Danio rerio: one gene and its partners. The protein of the gene in region 5 purifies or fractionates together with the protein of the main gene of each other region. This does not show direct contact. Links are inferred from orthologs where the notes say so. Each region holds a gene or a part of one and is shown on either strand. Other genes may lie near its edges.

The links.
Region 1: the proteins of dcaf7 (region 5) and pfdn5 purify together in Homo sapiens (affinity purification with mass spectrometry; 3 studies listed by BioGRID and IntAct, with this or other methods). This does not show direct contact. The link is inferred for Danio rerio from reciprocal best matches to the Homo sapiens genes DCAF7 and PFDN5.
Region 2: the proteins of dcaf7 (region 5) and pfdn4 purify together in Homo sapiens (affinity purification with mass spectrometry; 3 studies listed by BioGRID and IntAct, with this or other methods). This does not show direct contact. The link is inferred for Danio rerio from reciprocal best matches to the Homo sapiens genes DCAF7 and PFDN4.
Region 3: the proteins of dcaf7 (region 5) and cct5 purify together in Homo sapiens (affinity purification with mass spectrometry; 4 studies listed by BioGRID and IntAct, counting the BioPlex papers as one, with this or other methods). This does not show direct contact. The link is inferred for Danio rerio from reciprocal best matches to the Homo sapiens genes DCAF7 and CCT5.
Region 4: the proteins of dcaf7 (region 5) and ambra1a purify together in Homo sapiens (affinity purification with mass spectrometry; 3 studies listed by BioGRID and IntAct, with this or other methods). This does not show direct contact. The link is inferred for Danio rerio from reciprocal best matches to the Homo sapiens genes DCAF7 and AMBRA1.
Region 6: the proteins of dcaf7 (region 5) and znf703 purify together in Homo sapiens (co-immunoprecipitation; 5 studies listed by BioGRID and IntAct, counting the BioPlex papers as one, with this or other methods). This does not show direct contact. The link is inferred for Danio rerio from reciprocal best matches to the Homo sapiens genes DCAF7 and ZNF703.

The regions. Positions count from the first base shown.
Region 1 is NC_133181.1:42,215,187-42,219,471, forward strand, and holds the start of pfdn5 (prefoldin subunit 5), read right to left. Parts: upstream 2,801-4,285; 5' UTR 2,795-2,800; coding exon 2,729-2,794; intron 1,691-2,728; coding exon 1,588-1,690; intron 1,512-1,587; coding exon 1,480-1,511; intron 1,348-1,479; coding exon 1,273-1,347; intron 1,189-1,272; coding exon 1,083-1,188; intron 1-1,082. UniProt on the Homo sapiens protein: Binds specifically to cytosolic chaperonin (c-CPN) and transfers target proteins to it. Binds to nascent polypeptide chain and promotes folding in an environment in which there are many competing pathways for nonnative proteins.
Region 2 is NC_133198.1:41,416,738-41,419,963, forward strand, and holds the end of pfdn4 (prefoldin subunit 4), read right to left. Parts: intron 1,423-3,226; exon of another isoform or gene 1,189-1,422; coding exon 1,057-1,188; 3' UTR 501-1,056; downstream 1-500. UniProt on the Homo sapiens protein: Binds specifically to cytosolic chaperonin (c-CPN) and transfers target proteins to it. Binds to nascent polypeptide chain and promotes folding in an environment in which there are many competing pathways for nonnative proteins.
Region 3 is NC_133199.1:20,773,283-20,777,549, reverse strand, and holds the start of cct5 (T-complex protein 1 subunit epsilon), read right to left. Parts: upstream 2,801-4,267; 5' UTR 2,687-2,800; coding exon 2,582-2,686; intron 1,830-2,581; coding exon 1,769-1,829; intron 1,690-1,768; coding exon 1,525-1,689; intron 1-1,524. UniProt on the Homo sapiens protein: Component of the chaperonin-containing T-complex (TRiC), a molecular chaperone complex that assists the folding of actin, tubulin and other proteins upon ATP hydrolysis.
Region 4 is NC_133182.1:39,574,568-39,578,692, forward strand, and holds the start of ambra1a (activating molecule in BECN1-regulated autophagy protein 1A), read right to left. Parts: upstream 2,801-4,125; 5' UTR 2,597-2,800; intron 1-2,596. Other genes in the region: acp2 (lysosomal acid phosphatase precursor), read left to right, coding at 3,367-3,450. UniProt on the Homo sapiens protein: Substrate-recognition component of a DCX (DDB1-CUL4-X-box) E3 ubiquitin-protein ligase complex involved in cell cycle control and autophagy.
Region 5 is NC_133178.1:30,506,885-30,511,039, reverse strand, and holds the start of dcaf7 (DDB1- and CUL4-associated factor 7), read right to left. Parts: upstream 2,801-4,155; 5' UTR 2,657-2,800; coding exon 2,519-2,656; intron 814-2,518; coding exon 655-813; intron 1-654. UniProt on the Homo sapiens protein: Involved in craniofacial development. Acts upstream of the EDN1 pathway and is required for formation of the upper jaw equivalent, the palatoquadrate. The activity required for EDN1 pathway function differs between the first and second arches.
Region 6 is NC_133180.1:24,988,491-24,992,705, forward strand, and holds the start of znf703 (zinc finger protein 703), read right to left. Parts: upstream 2,801-4,215; 5' UTR 2,401-2,800; coding exon 2,143-2,400; intron 1,389-2,142; coding exon 1-1,388. UniProt on the Homo sapiens protein: Transcriptional corepressor which does not bind directly to DNA and may regulate transcription through recruitment of histone deacetylases to gene promoters. Regulates cell adhesion, migration and proliferation.

The DNA of each region.
Region 1 (4,285 bases), on a different chromosome or scaffold from region 5:
TTTAAGAAATATATAGATAAATAAAACTTATGCAATCTGCACTCCGAAATAAGTACAAAGACTGCCACCTGGTGGTTCAAAGAGAAAATGTATTGATATGAACTTTTTAAATACAATGCAAATGCACAATATTCAACTTTTTTAAAAAAAGGATACTGATTTATGCAGTCATGCACATGTTGTGATCGCCAATATGCCGGTGATATGTTGCTTCACAAAAGTTGCAGACACCTTCACCTTTATCAAAATGCTTTTTTGATGGAAAATTAATTCATACAGTTATTCCTTACTCCAATTAAAAAAAACTTGAGTAGGCCTAAGCTACTATAATAAAGAAAATCTTCTCTAAATGTAGAACTAAATACATTGATATGCTTTAAAATACATAATGAATACTCTTGACACATGAAAGTGTTAAGCCTGCAGCTCACAACAAACCGTTTACTGCTTGTTTGATGTAATTTTGCTCACATGGATAATTGAATATTATTCAGATGATGTCATTACGCTGCTGTGCCGTCAGCCAATCGTTGCATTGCTGATCATGATTTCGAGGATCGATGGATCTGTCCTTCACAACACATGCAGCGATCTCAGATCAGTTTATCCAGACATTCTAATCGGATTCGCAAACTTGTTTGAAGAACCAAATTAGCCAGAGATCAGTTATCAAGATGAAAAGATCCAGGATCTGCCAAATCATCTTATATCATTTAAGCGAGGTACGAAGAACGGACCCCAGATCTATTTTCAGTTGTTAGACACCCACATGAAAATATACGACAGTAATCTATAGTAAATAAAATTGTGATTTTTAACCATACTGACATCTCCAATAGATAGAGATGTTGCACAAACACCTAAAATATTGCCAGAATTGGTCTTTATGTATGTGTGATTTATATTGCATCACCAAAAATGATTGAGGTCATGTCCATGTGTTGTACGCTCAGTCGTTATATTGATTATTGTGACAGGCTTACTTGAAAATAGTGAAAAAAGAAATACAATAAAAATGTACTGTATTTTTATCAGCTATGGTGAACATAAGAAACATGTTTTTCAAAAGACAAGAAAATCACCTTGTTTCATGGCATATTTTTCTTGAAGAGCAGGCTGAATCTTTTCAATTTGTTTAGTAAGGAAGTCGATTTTGCGTTTAAAGAACTCTTTGCCGTCCTCTACATTCTGAAAAGACAGAAAAGGCAATGTGATTTACTCAGTTTTGACATTTTTACATATACTAAAACTACTAGACTGATTCTTACTCACCTTCTCCACAAAATAACCTGTTCCCACATCCACTAACACATGATCCACATCATGCAGCTTTCCAGGTACATACATCTACATGACTGAGGTTAAGGGAATAACGGACCACTGCAAATTAATTACACACACATCAAACTGTCTGTGTGACTTTCTTATGTGGCATAAATCAATCAGAACTCATTTATAACTCAGCTGTTTAGAGGATACAGAACTGGTGAGAGGGACGAGTAGTTCTTTACCTGAGAGAAAAAGTAAAAAAAAATTAGCAAACGTCAGATTTAGCTAAAAACGTCATAAAAGAGTTTTAAAAGTCACCTTCATTGCTCTTGTTAAGCACATTCAAACTGTCTTTGGCCTCCACATATTTTGTTTGGACGACTTTCAGCTGAGCTATAGACGATGACAGGAACTCTGTTTCCTAGAAAACACATTTTTAAGCAATTTATACAAAATAACGTGTAAATCTACCTTGAGATGTCCCTTTTTGGTGTCTCAAAGTAAATTAACATTATTGCATTTATATTCACAGAAAGCACACTGAACGCAAGCAAAGTGTTAACTTAAATGTTTCAAATAACTTTTGTAAAAATAAAATCAAAAAATGAGTGAAAATCTATCAAATAATTAACAATAATAATAATTTAGGAAATAATGTCAGGGTAATTCAGAGCAACATATATATTTATTTAAAAATGGGAAAAACATAGTACTTATTCTGTACTAGGTATGGGGCGATAACTGTTTGCAAGGTAAACCGGCAAGGTTTGGAATAGTCAAGGTTTTAAACCTTAAAAGTAAAAATTAGTAAAATAAAGGGTTTGAAGGATAGTGACAAATTATGCATGTTTAAAAAAAGAAAAATAATTAGAATTTGGGAGCTACAGTTCAACCTTTAAATAGTTAAATGCCATCAAAATAATCTTGGTCTAAAAATATGGCTGCCCAGAATTTTTAATATATATAAACTATTGTTATGACATTTTTGTTGGGGTCTTCTGTAAAATACAGTAAAATAAATATGACGGTCAAAATAAAACAGATAATCAGGACACATGTAAACTTCAAAAGTTTACTCACAGAAAAACAAAATTAGTCTTTTAAATTAATCTTATACAGATTATAGACTTGGTACCAAAATATATTTCAAACTGTGAACTCGTTAAAATAAAACCAAGTTGTGTTTAGTGAGAACTGACTGAGACACCATTCACATACAATGCAAGTGAACGTCGATAAAGTCATTCTGCATCTCATTTTCTGTCATACGGAATAAATGCAGCCATGTGGACAATCATAGAGGGCTTTTTTTCCGCATTACCAGCAGCAGCAGCACGCGCACAGACAGCATGACAACCGCAGCCCGTCAGTAAATTAATTCACTGACAGAAAAACAGCAGCACCTGATGCTACTCGGACATACGAAACGATGATGTTTTTTATTTTTAACACAATTTACCTGATCAAGCTGAGTTTTCAAGCCTTCTAATTGTGGAAGAGACAATTCAGTGAGATTCACCGCCATGTTGACAATAAAAGAGGGTGAGGAAAACTTCCGGGTCAAGCGGACGCAACTAAAAGGACTTTTACCATTGATTTTTTTCCATTACACACTACAGTCATTTGTTATACTTTAACAAATAAAACGTCGACTAAATAAACTAACAGTGCATTTATACAGCATGTATTAACATTACCTTAAAAAAAAAGGGAGATGACCAGCTAAAACCAGCTTGACCAGCCTAGCCAAGCTGGGAGTCCAGCCAAAACCAGCTATATCCAGCTTAAACCAGGCTGGGCAAGCTGGTTTTAGTTGGATTTGGCTGGTCATTTTCCAGCCTGACCAGCTAAGACCAGGCTGGAAATGGCTGGAAACTAGCCTGGAAATGGCCAAAACCCCTCTAAAACCAGGCTGGTCAACTGATTTTTCAGTAGGGAATGTATTTGATTAGTATGTAAACATGAGTAAATCCTTATTAATCAATTAACAAACTATTCATTGTCAATGCATGTGGTGCACAAATTTCAACTATTTTAAGCCTCATTGTTAAGTATTAGAATAGGTTTGTATTTCAGTAGACATTGAACACTAAAAATACACACCAGTTAAAAAGTGAAGAAAATGTACACAGCTCAAATCCTTATAAAGCTCATGGGCATTCATTAATGTTTGTGTGTGTATGTGTGTGTTTGCCTTTATGTGTTTGGTATTGTCCTGAGTTTTCTCCAACAGGAGTAGTGTGTATTTTACAAAAGCAGAAAATCTCATCTGAAACACTAACTCATGACAGGAAGTCCGTAACACTTGTTTAAATTAATATTTCATTTTTTCAGATTCACCATTAAACCTGGCCGTTCAGCACATAAGAATCACATCAGATCAGGTACGTCAGATATTTGTACGTCTCTGAAAACGCTGTCCCTGACATTTTGAAGACTTATGGGAACACCGATTTCAGTGTTTACAGTCCTTGTTGCCTGTCGGTTTATCCATCAGTCTGCAGTGACAGATGACCAATTCATGTTTTTCCTCCATGTGTACTCCTTTACTAGCACATCCCTCATTTCAGTTAACCCCTGTGTGCTGTTGAGGGTGTTTTCATCCACTCTGGGGTGATTTTGTGTCTTCATTTGGTCAACTTTTTCTGTTTCAACTAGCAGAACGACTTTGGCGACAAATTTAATTTTGACACGTTTTTGGAAAATGCTTTGACATTTTTAAAGAACTTAACGATACACTCTGGGCAATTTTGCTACCCTTTTGTTATGTTTGGGATGAAAACCTCCACTAATTTAAACTGCTGTAAAAATGCATCAGATAAATATGTTTTCCCATAAATCTGTTAATCAACCTCAGTCCCGATCAAAACTACTAAACTGTTTAGGAAATTACAGTTTAAATTCCTAATTACCAAATTCATAAATCTGTCACTGATTGGTGGAAAAACACACAAAATGACGTATTTTCAATACAAAAAGTAATCGTGGACTGGATTTTTTTTAACCTTTTAAAAAA
Region 2 (3,226 bases), on a different chromosome or scaffold from region 5:
GATCCTGTTCCGGAAAATTCCCTTCCAGTAATATTTTGAGTCATCCGGCATTAACATGTGCTTAGTGAATACCTGCATCTGTGTGTGTGAGAGATTGTGAATGAGTGCCAGTGAAAAACACAAAGCAACGCTGTGTGGATTGTGTACACCCACACACATAAAGGTCGTCACCAAGCCAAAGTTAAAGCAGAAGGCATGTTTTACTATTGGCCCTCAACAATATTTTTGACCAGTCAGCTTTCTTGCATTTACAGTCACTCTCATTGGTTGATGATTACTGTTTTAAAAATAAATAATGGGATAGTGGCCTACCTAAATTATATTTGTATTTTCAAAATGGCAAAGAGGAAGTATGTTTTTAAAACAGTAAATCTAATAATGAGCCTGATTAAAAAAAGATCTCTGGAAGATGGAACTGCATCCCTGGATCAGGATAGCGGGAGACAGAAGCAAAGCAATCAAGTCAGGCAAAAAACAGGATGGAAGAGGTAACCGTGGGCTGTTCTTGAAGATTAGACGGTGAGTATTTTAATTTTTTTTTCCACTTGTCACATAATAGTGAAGTGAAATGAAAGTCAGTGGTATTAGTAAACTGATCACCATTGGTGCTATCACCGTTTAGTGATGTCATGTTCCTGGAAACCTGAAATTGTGGTGGGTGCCGGTCACAGTAACTTTTATATCCTGGTATTGTTCTGGAAATTGTTCATTTACAAATTAAGCACTGCATGCATCCTTTGCTATTTGCTCAAAACACTATAACTGTGCCAACAAGAAACATTCACCTCAATACTGAACCCAAATTGAAGGAACTCATAAAAAAAAATGTTTCTTCTTTTTTTTATTTTGACATCAGTGCCTTTCAATTCTCTCATTCTGGACATTTCATTCGTCCCCCAAAAACCACCTGGATGCAACACCTCAAGAACTTGATTAAACGTAACAAGATGTGAAACTGAACAGACATCACTGGAGTAAACCGGACAAGATTTGTAGAAATGTCCTGTCCTGTTAGAGATGGACAGTCTATGAGGTCAAGTCCACCAGCTAAAGGTTTCAGCTCTCGTCCGCCTCTAAGTTGATGTTGTTTCCAAACTTGGCGTATAATTGAACCTTTAAATCTCCCAGGACCCCCTGTATGGATGAGACGCGACCTTCCAGAGCCTTGATCTCTTCCTGCAGAGCTTCCTGTGGATAACAGGAGATCAGCAAACAGGGTTCAAAGCAGACATTGGGCTAGTATAAATTGAAAAAAGAATTGTTTCTGCAAAGCAAAGACAAGTAGAGGCCATTTATCTGGAAACTTGTTTATTTACTTATCCGGAAAGTATTCATAGCGCTTCACTTTTTCCACATTTTTTATGTTACAGCCTAGAGCTGCACAATTAATCGAAAAAAGATTGTGAAAAAAGATTCGACCCCCTAGACCAGTGGTTCTCAAACTTTTTTCACCAAGTACCACCTTAGAAAAAAATCGTCTCTCCAAGTACCACCTTACGACGCTATTTTTTTAACCAGTATTAAAAAATAGCGTCGTAGGCCTAATTAAGCAGCTACAGGTGTGCACAGTTTAAAAACGATGCAGATTACTTCCTATTATTAAGAATATGTATTATTGTCAGTCACTTTAAACATTTTAAATAGTCTGAACATTAACTGTGCTTGCAGATAAAAAAAAAGTTTTAGTTAAAATGTGCTTTTAAAAATTCATTAAAAAATGGCGCTGTTCTTAAAAAGTAAAAAGAAAACTGCTGTACTTAAATCTGAAGTATTCATAGTAGCCTATTCATCAAAAGCTGGAAATGCTGCTTGGACCTTATAAATATAGGCTATATGTCATATTGCTACACTTTCAGACAAATCTTGAAATATATGTTAAATGTATATGACAGGGTTCATACAGGCACAGCCTAATGAAAATGAATTCCAGAACCTTCTTTTTTTTCAAGACTGACATGCTATGTATTGAAGACCTGAAATGTATTCTGTATGCAACCCATAAAATATTGCATAGGAATAGATACAAATAAAAAACATTAAAAATAATATTTATTAATCATATATTAATAATATAATAAACCTGCACTAAATGCTTGTGAAATCTTTTTTGTACTCAAGTAAAAATACTATTGCACTGCTAAAATAACAACATTTTTAGTAAATAATGCTAATATTTGGTAAAAGTACAAAGTACTCTTTTAAAAAGTACTAGTTGGTTACTTTTGAATAAAAAATCAGATTTTCATTATGAAATCACTTTTTTTAAGTGTAAACCTGATTTAATGGTTTGATTGCTTAAATCCCAAAGCTACGTGTATAGGAATATGCACTAACAAAGGAAGTATGGTCGATTTTTCCTTTCATGACAATTAATCTTTTTCAATAGCACTGGTAAAACTACCAAATAATCTTTAAGGCCATAGAGACACTTTTTGCCCATTTTTTAAAAAATATATTTTTAAGCTTTGAAAGGTTAAAGTATATGGTAAAAAGATTTTTATTTAGCCTTTTATTTACATATTTTACACTATTTTTCTTTACAATATGGCAAATTTGTTTCTTCAATAGCTGTACATCACATGTAGATTTTATTTTACACTTGATCTTAATCTAAAATAGAAACGTAAAAAAAATACAAGTACACTGTCAGTAAAAAATAAAACAAATGACTTTATTTTACTTGAGGTATTTGAAATGTGACAACAATACATTTATCAAAGCAGTGCTTTAAGAGTCTTATTGTAAATTTTGATAAATAAACAATAAGTAACAATGGATTGCTTTGATCTGTAATGCTTTAGGACAGATCAGAATACAGCTAAATGTATAAATCACACATATACCTCATCCAGAAACATTTCCAGCATAATTCTTTTGTCGTAAAGAAACAAAAAAGCTCCACCTTTGCTAAAGTTTCACTTGACAACACAGCCAAATAAGAAGACCATTAGCATTGTTATCGATCATGCATCAATCTATTTCTAAATACTTCATAACTTTAAATACTTTTGACTAAATTTAGTCAAGGAGCAAAGATAAATAATGTCTACTTTAATAGTGGAAAGATCGCGATTGTATTCAATCTGAGCACACAGGCGATCATGAGAGGACTTGCAGTTCATTTGAAAAAAAGCCTATTTAAGAGCTCGCATATCTGTTTTAGTGATTTGCGTACATGAATGGGCTCTCGTGTTAAAATAAAGCACTCGCCACGTTTGCAGAAATA
Region 3 (4,267 bases), on a different chromosome or scaffold from region 5:
GAAATCAACATGTCAAGCATTACAATAGTAAAAGTGTGATACAGCTTTAAATTGTTCTTTCTCTCTACATTTAAATGTACCCTGCTCAATTTTATTGTTTTTATTTTTTTTTTTTTACCATTATTTAAGATTTATTTCTTGTCACATCAGTAACAGTAATAAAAGTAACATATTACATATTGACAACTACATGCAGCAATAAGAGAAAACAAAACATTAAATATGATTTTTTCATTCTCCACTATATGGAGTAAGATTACAATATTATTTCACCAGTGGTTTTTATCAATTACTTGACAATTTAATTCAAACAGCAAAACAGTACGTCTTGCGTATAAACCTACATACACCTACTTATACATTCAATTTAGCCTTGTACTAATTTAATTACTAAAGTCCTTCATGCTATAACGAGTAAACACAAAACAAGTAAGAATAATTCATTAAAAAATAATTAGGGTGACATTTATATCTTAGAACATTTTCCCCCATTAAAGTGTCCAGTCTAGAAAAATGTTTAGCAGTTTTAGAAGCCTGACAAGAAATGATTAACTGTATATGCTTTACTATAATATTCAGATATGAAGTCAGAATCATTAGCCCCCCTTTGAATTTTTCTTTTTTTTTTCTATTTACTAAATGATGAACAGAGCAAGGAAATTTTCAGTGTTTGATATTTTTTTCTTTTGGAGAAAGTCATGTTTGATTTATTTCGGCTAGGATAAAAACAGTTTTTAATTAAAAAAAAAATATTTTAAGGTCAATATTATTAGCCCCTTAAAGCTATATTTTGTTTTAATACTCTACAGAACAAACCATCATTATACACTAACTTGCTTAATTACCCTAACCTGCCTAGTTAACCTAATTAACCAAGTTAAGCATTTAAATGTCACTTTAAGCTGTACAGAAGTGTCTTGAAAAATATCTAGTATAATATTATTTACTGTCATCATGGCAAAGATAAAATAAATCCGTTATTAGAATTGAGTTATTAAAACTATTGTTTAGAAATGTGTTAGAGATTTGTTAGAAATTGTGGTGTTAGAAATTTTATCTCTGTTAAACAAAAATTGGGCAAAAAAATAAACAGGGGGGCTAATAATTCAGGGGAACTAATAATTCTGACTTCAGCTGTATATTGTACATAAAGTATAAATATTGTAAATAGCATCCATATATCATATTAAAGTAAAGCATATATATCATACTTAGATCTGTAAAAGGACCTTTTATTATTAGATTTTGTATAAGCTGGGTCATTTCCCATAGCATATCATCTCCAGAACAGTATGCACACATGCTCATTTTTGTAATGGCACATAAAATGTACACACAGCTTGGAAAAGAGGATTTTTAAATTTTTTCTAATGTGCATTTCAATGTATTTGTAAGGCTGTACATTTATCCATGTTTATATACGAGCAAATCAATGCATTTAAACAAAGACAGAAAGAAAATGCTCTTGCTAGTGTTGTGGTTGTGTTTTAAAAGGGGAGAAGAAGAATATCAAGCTAAGCTCACCAACAACACCAGTGGTTCCATCTCCAATTTCATCATCTTGAGACTTGGAGAGCTCAACCATGAGCTTGGCAATCTGATGGTCCACATCCATCATGCTGAGGATCGTCGCACCATCATTGGTCACGGTCACCTCACCATCCTTATCCACCATCATCTTGTCAAGTCCTGTAAAGAACATTTACCAGCATTAAAAAAAACAGCATGAAATAAACTAGGAAGAGTACATGCAAAATTAAAAACATACCATTTGGACCTAGCGATGTTCTCAGGGTGTTAGCAACTGCTTTTGCTGCAAGAATGTGAGACTGAAGAGAACAGAAATAACATTGATGTCAGTAGATGCCACGCCAAGCTTATGCTTGGTTTTGGGCTTGGGAGGCTCAAATGGGTAGGCAAGAATGGCAATTTACGGTTTTAAGGGAAAGATAATGTGCATTTCTGGTAGAATATCTTATATAAATTTAATGTATATGTATGTATGTATATATAAACTAAAAATTTGTTAGTAAGGCGTGTCTCAAATAACAACCCAATCCTCTTTATAGGATTTTTGTCAAATAATAGAACTGAAACTATCATTATAAAACAAGGCAAGACACTGCAAGCCCCCAAAAAACACAACAAAAACATGCACCTGTCCGTTTAGAAAAGTTTGGCTTTTTGCAATTCTTTATGCAATCAAACAATTGGGGGAAGTAGAGTGATAGCTATCATCATTACTTATTTATTAACAACATTCAACTGAAGTATATTGCCACAAATAAAATGTGATGAAGACATGTCTGATGAATGAATGAAGGCATTGCGCATTATGACTCGACGTCTTTAGACTAGACTAGAGGAAGCACATGGACCATCCCTTGACATGCGCACATTGTTGATCACGTTAGACAAATAAATGTGCAATAACTGAATGCATTCTTAACATGTCAGACTGCAGAAGTACGTTTTCATAAAGAATCAATCTACAGTATACAGTAAATGCGGTATTCTGGATTACAGATATGATTAAAATCTCCGTTATAGCCCATTAGCCCGTTAGCTTTTGTAACGTTACCTTCAGTGCTTCCAGGCCAGTCAAGCGAGATTTCTTGTCCTGGTCCTTTATGATGATGAAAGGCCTTCCATATTCATCGAAGGCGAGAGTCCCAAGCGCGGACATGTTTAATTTCCACCCCAAAGAAATGCACAGTTATGAAAAGTGATGTTATACTAGAGAATTTAATCCTCTAGCTGCGCACCTCACCGCGCGGATCTGCCGGCTAGTTCTGGAAGAATCTCGGGGAGGGACGGACCAAACCAAGTTGACAATGTTAAAACATCCACATTTTTGTACATTACATTACCATTTAATCCCTAATTAAATAACAATATTAAACATTTAAGACAATTATGAAGGAGAAAAAGCAATTAACGAATCTTTAAATAATTTTTTTAAATTGAAGCATATTAATGGTTTATTCCATTCTCGCGATAACGACAACAAATAACGCGAGTGCGGGTACAGATTTATAATTCATGCAGATTGACTAACAAATAGACGTTACAAAATTGATTTGTGTATGTGCACACGTACAACTTGTGTATTTGAGAAAGGCCATGTGCTCGTCGTTGGTAACGTAATTTCCGATTACCTGTTCCTCCCGTTCATGCTTCTGACAGCACACCAGTGTGGATTTCAGTATGTTACATGACCGAAGAGGCTGTTTGTGTTGTTATTTGCAAAAGCAAGGTGACTTTTTTCTCTCTCCATCATTTACGTTTTACATTTGTGACCGACATTTGTTTTTGAAGTGTCTTTGTGAGGTCTACATGACTTTAAAGTTAGACTTGGTGAAGCTACAGCTTGTTTTGATATCTTTTTGGATATCTCTTATAAAACTTATGCAACATTCACATGATCAGGGTTGCTTGATTTCCGTTTGCACCTGTATATTATAATGATTCTTTTTACATTACAAACGTACACAGATTAGGTCATATTTAAAGTAAATTGTTTCATTATATCATACAGTACATACGTGTAATAAACTAAAAGAACTTCTCACAATCACAAAATGTAAATACAGAGGTTCCTTTAAAAAAACGAAGCTCATAAATAAACATTTCAATGAAAAAAAAGGTTAATTGAACATAAATGATCATATGCTATGCAACCTTCTTTTGGAATTTATTTATGTTTTGAATAATATATTTTATTGAATAATAATTATTAATAATTTTTAATAATTAACTAATTATTGTTTAAAAGCATATAAATAATACTTGTGTTTAGTATGTTAAATTATGATAATGTTCTAAAAATAATAAACCCTCATCAAGTAATGGCATATTTGCTTTTCCACATTTGCCCTCTACATTTAGGATTGGTTTTTGTTGATAAACGTGCCAGTATGCTTATTGACAAACCATTTCTACAAGTAACATGCATTTGAAAGTGGTTTATGCCTGTCAAATTAATTTACTTGTTTTAAAAACCTTTTTAGTACTGTTTATTTTAGAAATTCTGTAGATATGAATGTGGACAGAGTTTGAGCAATCATGAGATTTATAAAGTGATTAAGTAAAAATATACTTCATTAAATTTACTTGATTTCAGTTGACTAAATATGGTTGATATCTGCAGTTATGCTTTTTTTTTTTTAATTATTCATCAAATAAAAACTAGAAATGTATAAAAACAGATATATAAATCAGATTTTTAATGTGGATCATTTTGTGTTTTTCAATTCATTTCTCAATT
Region 4 (4,125 bases), on a different chromosome or scaffold from region 5:
ACATTTTCATGACATAATATTTCATGTAATATCTAAAAATAAATGATTAATAATAAGAAAAACAATAACGTTCAAATTTATAACAGCATATTATAGAACACGCAACTAACTAATTTGTTTAAATTAGTTTTTTTATTGATTTTTTTTGATAAAGCTTGCACAGCACTAACAATGTGAGAACAATATTTTGGCCAAGGACAGAAAAGAAAACAACTATCCTATATTCAAGTTAGGGCTGCACAATATATTGTTTTAGCATTGATAAAGTAATGTGTGCATTCACAATAGTCACATCGCAGGATATGCAATATTGGGATGGGATTATAGTTTAATTTAGAGTTTAATCAAAATGAACTAAAAGTTTATCATCTGTATGCATTTTAAAGAGATCGTTCACTCAAAAATTACTTACCATTTTTATTACACCCTTCACTTGTTTTAAACATTTATGAGCTTTCTTTTTTTTAAATAAAGACAAAAATAATATAACCTAATAACTCATATAGTATTGAAACAATTGAAGTGTGAGTAAATAGTAAGTACATTTTAATCTTTGAGTAAACTGTCCCTTTAAGACCTGTGACTGTTAAACATTTCAATATTTCAATTTTTTAAAAATCGGGCCAAAAGAAATTTTTTGGTAACTAAATTAAAGATTAAATAATATAGAACGAAGACTATGCAGTGTTAATTATTCAATATCTGTACCGAAATAGTGAATACCTGAAAACTATAATTCACTTTTATCTTGACTATGTTTTATTTATCTATGCTTGTAATTTATTTGTTATATATTATTCGGGATTCACTCTCTAACAACCCCCCCCCCCCCCCCCCCCCCCACCCCAATCAATCAAAAATAAAACTTTTAAATCATCTGGTGAAATTATATTCTCGTCGCAACATATCACAGAAATACAAAATATTGTAATGTCAGATTGTTCCAATATCGCGCAGCCCTAATTTAAGTATACTGATATTTGTTAAACTAATCTTCATAACTTTTCCAAGCCTGGAAAATGCCATGTCAAAATTCCATGACTTTTCCAGGTTTTCCATGACTGTATAAACCCTGTCTTATGATGAATTAGTCAACTATGGAGGACGCAAAAACAATAAATAAATACGCAAATAAATGAGTAAATAAATCCATAAATTCATGCATAAATAAAACAATAAATAAGCAAAAAAAATGTGTATATATATAAACTTTCTGCATAAATAAATGTATAAATAATTAATAGAGCAGTCAATCATCAGAAGCCAGTAAAAAAAAATTATAGTTTTTTTTTTTTTTAATGAAAAGCAAATGTTTTCTAACGATCAACCAATAATGGCATGAAGACCACTTTCTGATGATTGACAGAACCAGTCTCATTAGCATGTTTACTGAGGAAAGGTAAATACATAACTACAATCAAGAATGAATAAACATTTGGGAGGGGGCGGGGGGTGGAGCTTTCAGTTTACCATTTTCTTATTCCCGTAACATTCGTGTAATTTATTAAATTTTGTACCTGCCTGATTGAGTTATGCAGGAATTTGTGGATTTTTATATACATTTACTCGTTTATTATATATTTGTGTATTTATTTATTAATTTATAGATTTAAAAAAAATAAAGGTTTCATCTTTCATAGCCAACACCTTGACAGAGAAAAAAATCATTAATTAAACATAAATTAAACAAAAAGTTTACTTTTTCTTTCATAAGGTTTTCCACACAGGCTTTAAGTCAACTTAAAGTATGTCAAGTTAACTATGGTAATTTATTTTTTGTTATTTTTTAGCTATGCAAAAGTAACATTGAATACATTTGAAATTTACTTTTAATTCTAGTTAATGAACACTGTGTATTTTTCTTCAAACAACATAATACTGAACACAATCATACTTTTAAAGTGTATGCTTTACTTAAAAAATTGAAATAGTAACAACATTAAAAGATATTCACACAACAATCTAACTGAACAGAGACCTCAATACCTAATACACAATACACAATGACGAGTCTAACTACAATAAAAGCTAACCATATTTCCATTTCAGTTCTACTAATAAAGAATTAAGCAGTAAATAAAAATTAATAAATTAAAAAATAAAACAAACAAAAACTATTACATGGGTAAACAATGCATAGTTTAACTATCAAAAATGCAAAGACTACTATAAATACGTAGTTATTATTTACAGGAATGCAATTACCAAAATAACAGGGTTAAAACACGTGGAAAAGCTTTACACGTTTTGTGACACTATAGCACGTCAGGTCAAAGATAGCTCATGTTTGACTCCAGCTAACGTTAGACATATATAAGTTAAGTTTAACCTGCAATAAAAGGAGTGTCACTCATTACAGTAAATTCATTGTCACAGAATAAAGCAACTAGTGAAGGTTATAACGTTAACGTTAAATTACAATAATTACTTTTTAATAAAGAAATTAACTTTACAGCTTTAACATTTAGCAGTTAGCAAGCTAATTTACATGCGAGGCAAAGTATCAATCCACACAATTACATAGTGTTTAAATTAGGAGTCTTTTGTTCAGTATAAATTTAAAACAACACCTCTCATGGTCTCAGGTTCGGCCTACCTTTTCCTCTTATTTTTGTCCGATTTTAATCCATGAAATTGTAGATATGTAGTAGCGGAAGTACGTTAGGTGAAACTTTAGCAATATTTCAGATTTTCTTTAAGGAATATTTTTGTAATGTTTTTATTTTCCCCCAAAAGTGGGTCGTGTGTACTTTAGATTTGTTGCTGTGTGTGTCCTGCCAAAACGAGTCCAGACAAAGCCAGTAGAGCACAGATCCTTCATAATCAATTACCGAAAACATCGTTCATGAGCCAGCCAATCAGGTTGATCTGTCAAAAAAAAAAACACAGATGAACCAGTCAAGATGAAATCTTGTGCTAAACAGCCAAGTTATATTTACATTCACATTCCGTTGTCCTATATTTATATTTGATCATGGGCAGTTAAGTGATCAAATAATTTTTATTCACATATTCAGTCTTGCTAAATGTTAGATTACACATAAACTAAGTCAAACATATATACCAATTGAATAACAAAAGAGGGGATTTTCATTCAGAATTTTTTTTTCAAATGACGGAGAAGTCATGCACCTTAAACAAAGAGAAAACAATCAACTATTGTTTGCTGTTTTGCTCCAAGTCCTTCTCCGTTCGTGAGAGCCAATCACTGCTCGTGTTTTTGAAGCTGCTGAACACATTGACCAATGGCAGCTCTCCGTTACCCGGAAAAGCTTGCAGCTCGTCTTGTGTTTATCAGCCACGACAGCCAGGCAACGATCTTTCAATGAGGTTACTGTACTGTGCCTCATCCGCTCGTCCGCAAGTATGGATTCCTGTTTTGTGATTGTTGCCTTTCTCTTTGCTTTCAGTCTTTCCAGTGGAGAGAGGACGCTAAAGTTTGTCACTGTGGTGAGTTTAATAATACATCTGTCCTTTAAAAAAACAAACGTTAAGTATGTAACAGACAGTAACTGAATAACCGGGGCCTGAAGCTATTTACAAAACCTTTCGTTTTAAAAACATTGACAACGCGAAGTCTCAGTCAGACCTTTTATTATGTGCCTCGTGTGTTTCTTTAGGGGTGTCATATTTCTGTTATTCAGCTGTGTGCCTTTCTGTAATTACCTGTTAGTTGATGTCTAAATTCGTGTTTCTCTCTCGAATGTTTTGCTTTCTACAGATTTTCGCATTTTCTGTAATTTCGGTAAAATGTAGTTTTCGACTTGATCTTTATTAATTCCTCATTAAAGTACAGATTGAGCAATCTGAAGAGCAGACCGTCACATGACATGTTGTTTTGCTTCATTTCACCTCCCATTTTCGTCAAAGCAATAAAACACCTTTGTAGGTTAAATGTCACCTATTTTTTTTAGTAAGGGTAACATTATTGCTTGGCTTTTAGGTGAGAAAGATCTCTGAAATTAGTAATGCAACTGCAAGCCTATTACAGAATGTCTGTCATATGAACGAATTGGTAAACCAAGGGCTAACTTGTACTGAATCCATTTGTAACGTTAATGGATAAAGATAGAAAAAGTGTCTGCAAGGTAATTTATGGAGCAATTCCATGCAAATGTCAACCAT
Region 5 (4,155 bases):
TCAAGCTGGAATCAAATCATAATTGACTCCATTTATCTCTTAATACACATTCCTGGTCTTATCGTGAACAACAGTAATCCCTGATATATCCTGAACAAAGCTCCACTGGCTTGTAAGAGATTAACATAACGCCAGCCTACAGTCTTCATTAAGTGTCAACAAACACTCAGTTTACTCGGACCCTTTAAAGCTGTAGTATGAGGCCTGGAACAGTTTAGTTTGTGCTGCAGCCATGTTGAGAAGACTTGATCCACTATGCAATCACTTCCAAAAAAAAAAAAACTAGGAATTTGCAAGGGATATGGTAGAACTGACACTATTGTTTTATCAGTGTGTATACAAGAGCTGAAATTCAGATATGGTCATATATGATTTAAATTCAAAAGTACACTGTTGTAAACAGAATAAGCCATTTGACTAATCAGAACAAGGTAGACTCTTGGAAAGAAGGGGTTTAGAGAGATTGAATCTTTGAACAGACTGATTCAGGTGCTTCATGTAAGACAAAATACTGCTTTGCATATTATGACATGACAGGTGTATTCTTGATCTAGGATGAACTTATTATAGAAGACCTCCAAAACAAAAAGAGCAAACTTTAATATTGCATAATAGGGGCACTTCAGAAACTGTGCACGTGCTCCTCCTGCATACCCTCCATATGCGCAGATAGTCTCCACTGGTTGCCAGTAGGTCTGGATAGACGCCTTTGGTGTCTGGGATCCACATGATCTTGGTGGTGGGGTACGGATGATCAAAAGTGTTTCTGCATACAAACTCTGAGCTCTCCTCCTCAAGACCAACCAGCTGGACCTGAACATCACAAAACAAATAGCATGATGTCATAAGTTTCTGACAGCATGAAAGTAGCACCTTTTTCATTTTTATAGACAATTATATATTTTCCCACTTTATTTTTGTGATCATTTTTGGTTGTGACTGCAAGCACCATATGTTGTGCCAAAAATGTGTTTTTCGGTTACCTGTGGAGCAAATATCTAAAAAAAACCAAATATATTTACCTTCCATTTTCTGCTTTGAAGACTGCTGATTAAATTAGGGCTGGACGATATGGCACAAATGCAACCTCAATAGTTATTTTCAATATTAAACGATGACAATATATATTTTACGATACAAGTTGATAATGCTTCCAGATTTAAAAGAGTACCCCAACAATGACTGAAGCCACAAAATATTAGAGGGTCCATTAAATGGCATAACATATTTTCAGCTGATAAATTTTCAGTTAGAGTTGTGCGATTTGGGGAAAATACCCAATTGCAATTTTTTTGACAGACATTGCGATTTTATTTTTGATTTAATTTTGTAGTCAAGATTCAGCTCAATAATTTGTAAGTTGTGGCAACAACTCTGCGACATCTCTTCAAAATGACCTGTGTTTGTTCCGTGTCTGTGACTGAAACTAAAATATTCCCATATCACGACATGCTGTTTTTCTTTGATATGAATTCTTCTATTAATACTTCAGTTGCAGATGCCATATTCCCACCTTCCTGCATTTTGCTGTTTGTTTCCTTTTTATTGAGGGTTTTCGGCATAGTTTGGTTGTGCAATTCTGTTTAGGCAGAATGAAAGTGTGCTCACTCAATTGGCTAGTAAGACTGTCAAGCTACTACGACAGTTTCAGCGGGGGAAGCTAAATAATACTTCATATCGCAGCCTCTTGCGATTAACTTGTTGCAACGTTTCGAATTGCAATTCGATTAATCGCACAGCGATTTCAGTAGCCGAAAAAATGGTACAGCTCTAATATCATCAAACTTTCAGATTCCCATTGTGGCACATTTCTGCTGTGTGATTGGCTCTTAGATCAATATAGAGTAAAAAAGTCCAGTGCTTATCATTGTTATTTATATTATATAATATTGTGATTCGATATGATATTTATATAATATTATGTATTCATAACTACGTGTGTGGAGGGATGAATAGTGTTTGTAAGTATATGCTGTGAAGTGTACATGTGAGTGGTAGATTTTTTTATGTGATAAAGCACAATAAAATGGCTGTATTTAAATGAATTCTTCTGGTCACTGACATGGGACTGATGATAAAAAAAGAGTCTATATTTATTTTCCCACAAAAAAACAACAACAAAAAAACAGTGGTAATGATTAAATGAAATGTCTAAAATTATTGCATTTTCTGACAATTATCATCAGGACTGGTGCGGGTGGTACAGAAAAATCTGTCAGTGAAAGGGTTTTGAAAGCCCTAGATATACTTCTATTATGAATTTTAGACAGACATTTTGTCCTCTACGAACCTATTCGTAACCTTTAATTCGCACACGCTAAATACAAGATACAAAATAACAGTCGCTTAAAATATACAATTATTAGTGTCTGTCATACATTTGCGCGTTAAAATTCCAACACTGTGGAATAACCTGCACCTTACATGTTTTTAGGCTACACACTTCACTATGTGAAATGATAGCGTGTGTCATAAGATCAGACATAAAGCATAGTGTTGTGTGGCAGCAGGTGTTTACCTTGTTGTTGTACTCCTCGACGAAGCTGCCGAGCGCGAGCCGAAAGCGCTTGTCGGGTCTGACGCTCCAGTTCATAGCATAGACGGTCCATGGCGCCTCGTATTTGTAGATCTCTTTTCGTTTACCGTGCAACGACATGCTTCAATCCCAGTGATCGGCGACAGCTAGAGAGAATTAGGTCGTTAGGAGTAGCTTGATTCGACGGGATGTTTAAAAAAGGCTCTTACAGAGATAAATATGGTCTCGGGTTTGTGCAGCGCGAGACAAAGAGAACGTCATAACAATCCCTCTCCGCAACGGCCGCGAAAACGACGAGCTGCCTACAAAACAGCACGATTCCTGCCTAATAAAACACGCAAATAACCATCAAACATTCATAACTGCGTGTAGCTAAAGGGCCATGTTTTTCCTTAGTCCCGACGGTTTTAATTCTAACTTTAGAAAGCCCTAAATAGGCCCTACCGCTCAACGGCGCATTTGGTCTGAAAGATGTGTGTCTGCGTTTCAAAATAAAAGTCCCGGATAGAAAATGGGGGTTGAGCGCTGAGGCTATTTATAGATCCATGTTGCTAGTTGATTATTTTACTTGCGCATCATACTGGGCGGCATAATGTTTATGAAATTTTGATTAATTTTAGCTCCCTTCAGCCATGGAAATTAGCAAAGTGTAAGATTTTTTTTAAACTGCAAAAACACTAATCGCAGTATGAAAATGTAAAATAAGAGTGAATATCAAATAGAGAATAGAGAAATATGAATAAAAATCTGAAATCTGATTTAAACAGAAGTGATTAGTAAAAATAATGTAAAAAAATGCTTGTAAACATATTTCATTCTCACTTTAAATTTATTTGAGACATTTCAGTGTCCTAATTATCTTTGAACCTTTGAAACCTGCAAAAACACTAAATAGATTAAAATGCAAACATAAATGATAAAATATATAAATAAATTAGTAAATAAATAAATAAATTCTTCATAAATAAAACATTACATAAATTAATATGCAAATATATAAATAAATGAATAAATAAATCCATAAATTATTGCATAAATAAAACATTAAATAAACAACATTTGCAAATTAATAAATGAATATAAATAATATATAATACGAATATAAATAAATGTATATAAAAAATCCACAATTGTTTTTGCATATATAAATATTTAAATAGAACGAGCATGCAAATAATTATATAAATTACGGGAAAAAAAGAAAATGCTAAACTGAAAGTTTATTCATCCCCTCTCTCAAACGTTTATTAGAAAAAAACTTTCAGTGTAGCATTTTTATATTCCCCTCCTGTAATTTATTTAATTATTTGCTTGCCTGCACTATTAACTATTTATATATTTATTTATGCAGAAATCTATGGATTTATTTACTCCTTTATTTATACATTTGCGTATTTATTTATTTATTGTTTTTGTAGGTTTCGCCCTCCATAAAATTGTAATAATAACAATACTATAAATAAATGCACAAATTCCTCCATAAATAAAACAATAAATAAATAAATATTTAGATAAATGAATAAATATACAAATTCCTGCATAAATAAAACAATAAATAAATTATATATATATATATATATATATATATATATATATATATATATATATATATATATATA
Region 6 (4,215 bases), on a different chromosome or scaffold from region 5:
TTCCCGTAGGGGTGATACCTTGCCAAACCTAGACCAGGTGACCCTCGCAGGGACAGGGAACTTGGAAGTGCCCCTGGGCTGCTAGGAGGAGGCAAGTGGAGGTGGCAGGAAGCAGCAGAGGAAACAGAAGAAGGATAGCCCGAAAGCAGCTTCCCATCCACACCTGGCAGAGCCGTGTGTGTACGCAAATGGGCCAGGAGTTCCTCTGAGGTGGCAAAGCGTTTGTCACATGGGCCACCCACTGAGACCCAGTTACAGGCGTGAGGGAGTGTTTCATTGGGCAGCATGAAACCGTAGGTATACAGAGGATGGGACAGAGATGAGGTGGCACTAGAGGACAGAGAACTGGGGTGGAGTGAGTGGAGGTGATGGGTGGGATACATTAGAGGAAAGCCAGACTTAAGGGCTGATGATGGATCGTGAACGCAGGAAGAGCAGTTGCTGCCCCCGAGGTGGGGTGCATTGGGGTAGGTCAGGCAATATGGGTCCCTGCACAAGCCCTGCATGAAAGAGGGAGGTGAGGCCCCTGTGAGAGGACTGGAGCTGGGGTGCTTTCCTGGAACACCCATCCCTAAACTAGATTTCGCTGGATCCAACCCAGGCACAAACTGAGATGGATAGCCGGTATAGGCCCCGACAATGGAGCCGTGGTAGCCCATGGTGGAGGACGGGAGGGGAAAAACGGAGTGGCCTGGTTTGAAGGGTGACACAGGGGCGATGTGGCCTGTGCCCAGGCTGGGCTGAGGGGGTTGGGAGTCAGTCTTACTGTCCGGTTGAGGACTGCTGGAGGAACTGGCACTGCTAGAGTTCACACTAGCACGTGCATGACTGGAGTTGGCGATTTGTACAACGTCCAGGCTTGATTTATTGTGGTCCGAATCTTTTTTGCCATTGCGATCACTACCACTGCTGCTGCTGTCATTCCCTGGGTCTGAACCTGCAGCTTTGGAGTCCATGTGGGTGGTTTGTAGATGTGCTGTTTTCTGTGAAAGAGGAGACTGAGACTGCCGGTGTGTGTGTGACTGTCCAGATGTTTGCTGAGGGGAGCTGGCCCGTGGAGATGGGGCATGCGGAGGTAAAGACGTGCACGTCACAGATGAAGAACTGCCATTTGGCACTCTGAACCCCGCTTTATCTGCTGAGCTGTTGATCCCAGCACCCTCCTTTCGGCATTCTGATCCAGTTTTAGAGTAAGGCTTAAAGCTGGACTTGTCATCTAGGTTCTGATGCTCCCCAGACTTCAGGCTAGAGCTGCTGGAGCGGCTGTCCTTGTCTCCATGGCTGCTGGAGGAGAGGGATCCCAGTTTAGAGGAGGGAGGAGGATCTGGCTTTCCGATCTGAGAGCAGGTCTGAGCCAGCAATGCTAGGGGACTCTTTTTAGCATCCAGCTATGGGAAAAAAAGAAGAAATTTTAAATGAATGATTTTGGTTTTCTTACCACCAACAAAATGACACTTCATTTATAGACCAATTTTTTGGCATGCCCTCAGTGATATGTCATATTTCAAGGAAGATGCAATAATTCTATTTACGCTTGGATTATTTATAAATGACATCATCATCATAAAAAACTCGCATGGATATTAAATTTTATTTTAAATGATGTTAATTTGCATGTCAAGGGTGAATTAAATCACTTGACATATTGTTGTAGTTTTTGCAGCACTCAAAGTGTGCCGAGCATGCAGAGTTTTATACAGGTTATTAAAAAGATTGCACAATTTACTTTTTTAAAGTTCCATTTGTGTGCCAAAAAAGCACGTAGATGCTGGAAGCTTTAACCACCTAAGAGCAGTAAAGGCGCACGTCAGTAGCGATTAAGGAAATGTGAAACCTTAAAATGTTGCCAGAGCACGGCCTCATCTAAATCCGGACTATTTCTTCAAACTGCCGCTGAATCGCTTTCAGGATCTTTCGGCTAAATCCGAATTACATATTAAAACGAGCCGCGCAACATGGAGCTTAGAGCTAAAAAACGTTGACGCAAAATATTGCGTGTACTACACGACTCGGGCACAAAATAAAGAGAACACCCTTTCGCTTTATAGAAACTAGGACAAACACGCAACTCTAACACATACAAATGTAATGTATATATTTTTACTTCGCAGAAGTAAGAAACAAATGGTTTAGAAGTCGTACCTCAATGCTCACGGGCGCCGAGCTGAGCGGCTGGAGATACTCTGGGTGAAGTATGTGACTTGTGTGAGCGGTCAACATTTTGAGAATCCGTATAGGCAGCCTTTTCTCCTGACGCGCGGGATCACGGTACGGCAGTGAGGCGATCGAGTCGACCTGGAGTCCTAAACAAGTGGGCGAACTATCGTTGGTAATGTAATGACTTTTAAAGGTCTGCTGGTTCCGTGGACTGACTGCAAATCCAGGAGGCAGTTCGCTCATCTGGATCGGGGCGGATCAGAGACCTGTCGAGGGCAGCGACGGGGCGGGTGTTCAGTTTTCATTTAGAGATATCCAGTGTTTTCAGTATAGAGCCAAACGACATTATATCCCGTGAAATATCCAGTTGAAACATCAGCTCTGCCTGTAGTCCAGAGAAAGAGAGCTGTTACAGTGTCTATGAAGAAGAACGTACACTCCGTCTCCACATCGTTCCGTCACCGAATCGGTGTTGCTCGAAACCCCAGCAGGATCGCGAGTCCTTTACGCGCAAACGACGACTTGACAAATATGAGAAGTATTGTGTACTTGTCTTAAAATAAAAAGAAACAAACAACAAGGCAGAATATCGTGTCAAATAATGGCATTCCGTTGGTCCGTGCGCTCTCCGGTGTGTGTTCACTACACCCTCCGTACGCATATACACTGTGCTCGTACGGGAGATCTGAGGGAGAACTTCAAAGCGCTCAGCCGCCGTCCAATCACATGCATCTGCATCGGTAATAAGTGGGTAGGCACAACAGAGGCGGAGACTGTCCTCCTCTTTCCTCTGACTCGCTCCGGACCCGCTGGCCAAGTGTTTGATCGTTGTATGTCAAAACACGCAAAGGCTGTGGCATGCCGGTTTACCATTTATTTGATATATTATTGCCATTTTTTACTGGTATTTATTTTGTAGTTTTACATTTAAATACTACTGCTGAATGTAAACACTTATAGTTATAATAAAAACTATAGTATAATCAATAGTATCTTGTTTGTTTTCACAATCTATTGCAATCTTCAACTCTATTATACTTTACACTGTTTATTTGTTTGCTAATAGGCATGGGCTGGTATAAGATTCTAATGGTCATGATAACACTAATGGTCACGATAACAAAGGTTTCACGGTGACGTTATTGTGATTACTGCTCTAAAATATGTTCTGTGAAAAATACCAACAACTTTTTATTCCTTGAACACAATATATTTTATTTTACCAACATTTAAAATGTTTTAGAATTGTAAACATGTCAAGCTAAATAATTAAAATGAATCATTAACTTCTGCTATTTATTAGTTAACACAACACAGATTTCTTTACAACCTGAAAAGGCATCTTTGGATATCTGTCTTTACTTTGAGTATGAAGTAAGTAAGCCACTGCACTGTTCAGATGCTGGATGTTGGTTTATAAGCAATTTGTATCTCAGCTGTTTGCTGAATCATGTGCTGACTAGTAGCTTTTGATTTGGAGGATCCTTTTTTGCTGAAGCTACTGCTGCCCTTAAAAAACTAAATAACTGTAAAACATGTAAAAAAAACACTTAAGGAAAGGTATAACAGATTTTTTGTTTGCGGTTTTAAAACCTTGACTTTTCCAAACTGCGGTAAAGGGTTATTATCCCATGCCTATTTGCTACTATTTTTGCCTGCTATTATTATTATTTTTAAATTTTTTTTGTCGATCCAATCATGAGTTGACATTGCTAAATCTGAAATGTTGTGAGCTTGTCCACTTTCAGCCACTTTCAAAGGCAGTTGAAAACACATTAGACAGGATTGCTTTCAAAGTGTAAATGCTCATGTGGTCGAATGCGCTCAGAGAGCTGCACACAAACAAAAATAAAACCTAATTTATAAACATTAGTGCTTTTGAAGTGCACTGGCCAGACAAGATTTCAATTAAATCATCTGAAATCACAAGTCTGGTTTGAAATTTAGAAAGCACAATGATTTATCATCAATGCATTAAAGCTATTTTTATAGCGTTTTTCATCTATAATACAAAATACCCCTCATCATACTACATTAATTAGTGAAAAATGTATTTCT